2 linked regions of the Arabidopsis thaliana genome follow. The protein of the gene in region 2 interacts with the protein of the main gene of each other region in a pairwise test. Each region holds a gene or a part of one and is shown on either strand. Other genes may lie near its edges.

Region 1 (3,447 bases), on a different chromosome or scaffold from region 2:
TATGCACACACATAAATGTATATTTTTATATATTTGCATGTAATCTGCATGTGAGTTGTCTCTTTTGCAGTCAACGAATTAATTTTAAAATGTGCTGCATTTGTTATATATATCAAACAATTTTTCACGAAAATATTTCCCATAAAAATAGTAATTAGTGACGTTGAATCAAATTTGTTTCTTATTTAAATAAAGTATACACTTGTAAACATTTTATATAATGAAACAAAATTAAAACTCTAAAACATCATATATAATGAAACAGATGGAATATATTCATATACTTGCATTGAATAAGTGCACTTTATTTTTAGACTGGGAACTCTTTACCATAGCAAAAACTTTATCGTTTCAGTGGTTACAAATCACATACATAAATAAAATTAATGGTTGTAAAAACGGTATCACTAATTATCTCTTATCTAATTTGCTACCTATCAATGATTTTATTCAATATCGAATCCTGCCAAATTGTCTAAACCTTAAACATAAGTATATAGATTGGACCCTAAAAACAACCAAAAATATATTTTGAACGAAAAGTTAAATATAAATCTGAAAAATACGAAGCAGATACAACAAACCAAAAAATGGAACCAAAATATATAAATCAAAATTAGTATAAATTTTATAATAATTATTATTTTTTACAATCTGAAAAAGATTAAGAAACAAGGCAACACCGCGCGAGCATCAAAGACAATCAACTCACCAGCTCGACCCGCTACCGAATCCGACCCGAATTCACCTTTCTTCGCAACCCGACCCGCAATCACTCTACAAATCAACATCGCTCTCCTCCCTCCTCCGCCGCCAGTGCTCGCGTGCGCTTCTCCGCTACCGGAAAACGTACAAACCGCCGCTCCTTTCCCTCCGGGAAAACCCCACGCGCCGCCGTTTATCCCTCCCGGAATCGGACCCAACGGAAAAAACCTCATCATCTCATTCCCATCAGCGGAGCACCGCGCGTTTTCATCACACGCGCTGCCGTCAACTCTATCAGAATCAACTTTCGAACACGATCGCGATTTCACAGCTTCTCTATATTCCTCAAACCGGGTCACAGCTTTTGACCCGTTTTCAACTTTAAAAATCATTTCAACCCGACCCGGAAACTCATCGGAGCTCCAACTAGATTGGAATATAATCTCCACGACGTTTCTTGACGGATGACCATCAGGAAGATCGGTCAATACGGGCAATACAGATTCCGAGGAAGCTCGAGCTGATACACTTCGTCGGGTCGGGTGATGAGAATTGGAGTCTAATTCGGGTCGACGAGAAGAGCATAAACGTCTTAAACTCGGGTCCGGTTTTGGGTTTTTCTTAACGGTTCCGGGTTGTGTATTGACAACGTCTCTAACGTTTTTTCTGCAGCTGTAACTTGGCAATAAGAGTTTACCTTTGTTGGAGTGATGATGATAGACATCGTCGAATGCTTTTGATTTGCAATGTAAGGATTTGACCCACCCGATCGGCATATTTCGGGTTGTGTTTTGATTTGGAACCGGATCCGGGTTGTGTCTTTAGAAATTTGAAGTTTGTGATATGTTTAGAGATTTGTGGGGGCTTTGAAGTTTTTGGTGTATGTATGTAATGTACCCATGAAGTATGAACATTGTCCCGCCGTCTTAGAATGGACGTTTTATCGGTTGGTGTTTCTTTATGGTAGTAAATGACGATATTACCCCTTTTATTTTGGGTCCTGACCAATGTCAACGTGAATTTTCCAGCTTCTTGTCTGTAAAAACAAAAGAAACTAATTATGTATCATAACCACGTACAATGCTTTTACCTTGTTAATCATGATTGAATTAACACATGTCTCATTTTAGTTAACTTCTTGTAATGTTGAAGTTAGTTATAACATATCTTTTTCCTTGCCGATGAATTTCTTGATCTAGTTTTTCTTGTGTCAGCGAGAATATCGTTTGTGGTCTATTGATTATGACCATTGTTCTATCCAATGCATAGTTGGATGATGAATTCAGGACAAATAATGTTATTACTTGCGCCAAATTGCTTTTTAGCTTTTGTTTTCAAGCTCTTATACATATTTTGTGGATATATTTTATTTATCCCTTTTTAGCATTGTAAAATATTTTTGTATGTTTTGTCTTAAACTTTATGATCCTTGTATTCTTGGTTTTTTTGAACCTTGTGACTTGAATGATTGAAATGAAATATTTGTTCCATAATAATTATAAAAGAATATCAAATTTTAATAGTATGTGTTTTTAAATAGTAGCTTTCTTTGTATGATGTTGGAATGTCGGATTCACCAAAACGAACTACAGTTTATTTTTTGAATTATTATATGAACTAATTGCATACAATTTGTTGGTGAAACAAACTAAATAAATTTTAATATAAAAATATATAGAACTATGAGAAGGAAGAAAAAGGTAATGCGTCGCTATTAATTTTTTTTTATGCTTTAATAAGACAAAAATGTCACATTTGAAGCTGCAATATCATGAAGCGACAACTTTAATTTAATTTTGAGAAAAGATATGTATTTTCGTGGTATTTTTATATATAGTGGCTTCATGTTATTGCATCTAAAATATGTATAGTGTATGTATTGGATAATTTATATATAATATATAAATATATGGCTTAAGAAAATATATTCTGGGAAACATATATAGTGTATAAATATATGGATTAAAAAAATATACTCCTTCAAGAAAATATATTTATTTAGTGTATAATTATATAGCTTAAATATAGAGTTTGATTAGTATTATTTAGAGAAAATAGTAGAAAAGAGTGAGAGTAAACAAGTAGAAATAGAATATACAGTATCAAGAGAAAATAGCAAAATAGAGTATAATTTTTTTACTCTTATGGAAAGTAGAAGAAAATCTACTCTATTTTTTTAACATAAATGGAAGAAAATAGAAAATAAAAATGATTTTATTTATCATGAATGCTACAAATTAAACAAAATTGAGAATAGAAAAATTTCAACATTTTTATTTCACTCTAAAACCTTGATTAGAGATCTTTACAATTGCGTATTTCAAGAACAAAAAAAATGTTTGCATATTTTAGGTAGGATGATATCTCATAAACCGCACTTATTTATCTTTTTTTTTCTGAAAAAAACAACTCTTATTTATCGAACAACAAATTATCCATTGGTACAAATCGAATTATGCATTGAAAAAAGTAAAAAATTGATTTTTTCATTTCATTTAATTTGTGAGTAATATAGAAAAGAGTTTGATTACCACTAACTAGTATGTAGATGTCAGAAACCTCAATTAGAAATTTGTGGATGTTTCGATGTCTCTATGCCTTGTTAATCGAACAAGATCGAATTTGAAGAATAATGTATTAAGTTATGTATAATGTCGTTACAATCTGACCCTCCTTTACAATTTCATTTCTCTCCTTTTATATTAATATTGTGAGATTCGTAATCACAAATAATGTTTTTCT
Region 2 (4,516 bases):
ACGGACATGCAAATATTTATATGTTTTCTCCATTATCAACATATACAAATTATATGAGTAAACTTCAACAATATAATCCAAAATTGTACTGTTTATCTTTATATTTTCACGCTTTTTTTTTCTTAATGTCATAGGCAAAAATTCTGCGGGGAGAGCAAAACCTTTATTGTTTAGTAAATAATTTTCTTCAATTCATTTACGAACTCTAGACATAATAAATAAATTAACGCCAAATAAGAGGAATTATTGTCCTTGCAAATATATACAGCAAGAACTCACGAGGAGGCAATGTTTGGACTAACCTAAACTGGCCATCTCATGACTCAAAGACGAAAGATCGATGTTTGTGCAAAGTACACTGACTCACTTCACTTCTCATTGATCAATCTTAACTAATATTTGTTCTCTTCCCTTTTTCAGTTTATCTTAGACCATTGTTTCTCCTAGCAACAAATTCACCGAATGATCATGTCGCGATTAGTTTTGGGATAAAATCATAAAATTGCTTCTCATCAAGAATTGCTCCGCAAAATCAATGTTCAAGCAGATTACTAGACCAAAATTTATGATCGAGTAGTCCGAATATAATCTTTTGCATTTAAAGCCTCTAAAATTTACAAATATCTAACCAATGTTACAACATGGCATGTACCTAGTACAAGCTACTAGGTTACAACTTCAGAGCGAAGAATTAAAAAATGAGAATCCTATATTAATGAATATTCTCGCTTGAGAAATCTATGCATGACAACTTTCTATCATCAACAATAATAATTAGATTTGATCAATCTCTGTCGACGAGAACCCGCCAAAAGTGGTGACTGAGAGACATGTCACACAACATCGCCCTATTTATACGTAGAAATATCGATCTATATATATATATATACTAGATCGACAATAATATGGTAAGTTTTTTTATTTTAAATATGGTAAGTAATAAATGCTTGTAATACGAAAGGCCTTTATGCTCTACTCATTGTTTGGTGTATAAAAAAAAAATGGAATCAAGGTGTCAGATATGATGGTACAGCAATTTTTAGCCCCACACGTTGTCATTTTTCTTTGGAAGGTACATTGAGATCAATTTCTATTTTTGTATTATTTTGAAATCATCATATAGTTTCATTGGATTTATCACAAGAGGAATCTTATAAAAATGCGAATGGGTATATCTATCTCTCTTTCAATATCTATGTCACACAAGTGTTGTTGCTATATTGTAGGGACATGTCAAAACTTGTCGACAAAAGCTCCATGAATGGGAAACATTGACATCAAGATACAAAATCACATGATTCTTCAACTTGTGAAAGTTTTCGAGTGTGAACATCAGACTCACATAAAACTCCATTGTAGATATCTCTTGTCATAAGACACTGTCACATTCAATATCGTTTTCAAACTCTCCAAAATACTGCCTGATTGCAATGTTACAATTTTGTCATGGACCCACCAATCCCTGTGAACCAAGCCGGTTACTGTTTATTACTCCGACCCGACCCGGGCTTTTTAAAGATAGGCCCAAGAAGGCCCAATGATTGAAATGTGAAATGTTTGATACATTGATGTTTTTGATCTTCGCTCAAACCCTACAATAAAACTTTGGTTCCTCCGAATTTCGAGTTCTTGTTCTTCCCAAGGCCCCTACTTCGGCCCTAGCATCAACCATTGTCGTTTTAAAGCTCCAGGTTTTCATGGCCAAGAAAGAAGTAACTATCGTTGAGATCTTCTGAAATTAATCAGTCTTGAAGTCTCTGGAGATTGTACGTTTCTCTTCTTCCTTTCCTCGTCGGTTTTAATGGATTCCGTTTGCCTGATTTGCAGTTTCTGCTTCACCGTGAAATCGAAACTCGTTTTGCTCTTAAACAAATATTATGCATGCGTTTCAATTTGGGTCTTTTTCTTGACAATATTGGTTCTGTTTGGATTAAGAAATTGAAAATTAGTTTTGTAGCTGAGCCTTTTCTCTTGTGTGTATAGGAACTGAGCTATATCAGTAGTGTATCTAGCATATTTGATTAATGTTCCTTCATGTTGTTCTTATTGAAGCTGCTTCCATTGGTTTTGTGATTGAGTGCAGGTCTTATAACATGGACTCCATGGATATTGATCAAAGTAACATAGGTGAATCGCCTCACCTTCTGCTGAGACCAGTAAGTCCATTGGAATCTGGTGAAGGTTTACCTTATGCTCCTGAGAATTGGCCTAATCCTGGAGATACTTGGCATTGGAAGGTTGGACCGAGAATTAGCGGTAAAGGCTACTTCGTGGATAGATACTTATATCCTCCTAAGTATCTTCCCGGTTTAGATACTGAAATATTGCGGAAAAATAAGGTGTTTAGGAGCAGGCTCTCGCTCCAACGATATATTCGTGTACACTTCCCTGAAGCGGATGTTCAAAAGTTCTTTGCTTCTTTCAGCTGGAGCATACCCTGCAGAGATGGTCAAGGTTCAATTTACTCTATATGATGCTTTACTCAAATATATACAATTCCAGTAGACTTACTATGTTTTTCCTTATGCTTCTCTCATCGCATGTTTCTGTTAGTTCTTCTTAACCATATGAATTACGTTTCAACATTCTGAACAAGTTACTGATTTCTTGGCATGGTGATTTGTTCTCTGTTTGACAGGTGTTTTGCCTCAGAAGCAGGTTCAGTTACCAGTGTATAGCTCAGATGAAGATCCAATGCGTGATGATGGATCTGATACTGCGGTCTGTAAGGCTGGTAATGAAAAATGCCGGAGCCTGATGCCACAGTGCGAAGCCGAGACTTTACCTGCTATGCCTTGTGACATTTGCTGCGGTGAACGTAAGTTCTGCGTTGATTGCTGTTGCATCCTTTGCTGCAAGTTAATAAGTTTGGAGCATGGAGGCTATAGCTATATCAAATGTGAAGCTGTGGTTTCCGAGGGTCACATATGTGGACATGTTGCTCATATGAACTGTGCTCTTCGAGCTTATCTGGCTGGAACCATTGGAGGCAGCATGGGATTGGATACTGAATACTACTGCAGGCGATGTGACGCCAAAAAGGACTTGTTTCCACATGTCAACAAGTTTCTAGAAATATGTCAGACTGTAGAATATCAAGGCGACGTGGAGAAGATCCTGAATCTCGGTATTTGTATCTTGCGGGGAGCACAAAGAGACAATGCTAAGGAGCTATTAAATTGTATCGAATCAACAGTCATCAAGGTATAATATACTTTGTAAAATGTAATGTTTACTGGACGTTCCTGAAACTAAAGCCAACTCTTTTCAGCTTAAATGTGGCACGAGCTTGGAAGATCTCTGGAATGATGATACACCAACTATATGGTCAGGTACATATCCCTTAATCACGATCCTTTGCTTTGACTTGAATATGTATTGAAGTTGATTTATTGTTCATTATAACAGATTATCTTCATTCTGGTTGTAGATTACTCCGACAGTGGAGAAGCTAGAGAAAATGATACATTGCAAAGTTTACAGGACGTGACTCCAATTGGGCCCATACCATTCAACCATGAGGCTGAGATGCACAAACTCGAAGAAGAAATCGGCGAGGTTCTAAGAGCGCTGAGAAAGGCTCAGGAATTTGAGTACCAAATTGCAGAAGGCAAACTTCATGCTCAGAAAGAATGTCTGAGTGATCTGTATAGGCAGCTCGAGAAGGAGAAGTCAGAGCTGTCGAGGCGAGTATCAGGTACAGATGCGAATAGCTTGATGACGAATGTGCTGAAGAGATTGGATCAGATTAGAAAAGAAGTCACAAAGCTTAAAGAAATGGAAGAAGTAGCCAAGGGATTTGGTAGGACACCTAGAGGGGTTCTTGAAGAGTACTTTCATCTAAACATCGAGGACTAAGATTTATATAAGCACATCCATAATTGTACATTCGTTATGACGTTTGTTTTGTAAGTTTTTGATTCTTCCTCGTAAATCTGAGTTTTGGATGGTCATTTGTTTATTCATTAATCAATTTACGAGTAACAAATGCACAAAAGGTACAATGAAAAGGTCTTCTCCTTCATAAATTGAGATTTAAAATGACAATTATGGAATTAAAAACTTGGAGCCATCAATTAGCTAAATGGCCTTAAAGAGATACAAAAACATAATATGATCAACTTTGGTTGCCACCCCTAGTAGCATTCTCCGGACAAGAATCAAGAGGAGGCTCACCTTTGGGGTTAGTAAAGCGTTGACGCTGCGAGGAAAAAGACAGACGGGGTCAAATTTAGGCAAAGAAAAGAACAACTGAGAAAGAGAGAATATAGTTAAACAAGTGGCAAGGATGCTTAAATTACCTTGAGTTCATGTTCTCGAGTAGAGAGATGCGTGATGAAATTATCAACGCCTTGGCCAGCAATACCTGGGCCACAAATACGACGGCACACAGAGCAAATCCAGGAGGCAGGTCCAGGCGTTTCACTGCAGCTATCCTCCTCCTCCTCAAGTGGCCCTGGATCAGCTAGAAGAAAGTTTTTCCAGAGGGTGGAGGAGGCTTCTCGAGGAGACTCAA

What was found. Proteins that work in one complex are often made in the same cells at the same time.
Region 1: the proteins of AT1G05410 (region 2) and AT4G12450 interact in a two-hybrid assay, tested with the Arabidopsis thaliana proteins (one large-scale study listed by BioGRID).

Annotation. Positions count from the first base shown.
Region 1 is NC_003075.7:7,385,194-7,388,640, forward strand, and holds AT4G12450 (zinc finger (C2H2 type) family protein), read right to left. Parts: upstream 1,739-3,447; 5' UTR 1,482-1,738; coding exon 648-1,481; 3' UTR 502-647; downstream 1-501.
Region 2 is NC_003070.9:1,584,846-1,589,361, reverse strand, and holds AT1G05410 (CDPK adapter, putative (DUF1423)), read left to right. Parts: upstream 1-1,567; 5' UTR 1,568-1,766; intron 1,767-2,083; 5' UTR 2,084-2,093; coding exon 2,094-2,454; intron 2,455-2,638; coding exon 2,639-3,204; intron 3,205-3,271; coding exon 3,272-3,332; intron 3,333-3,430; coding exon 3,431-3,858; 3' UTR 3,859-3,991; downstream 3,992-4,516. Other genes in the region: AT1G05400 (uncharacterized protein), read right to left, coding at 4,118-4,201, 4,302-4,516.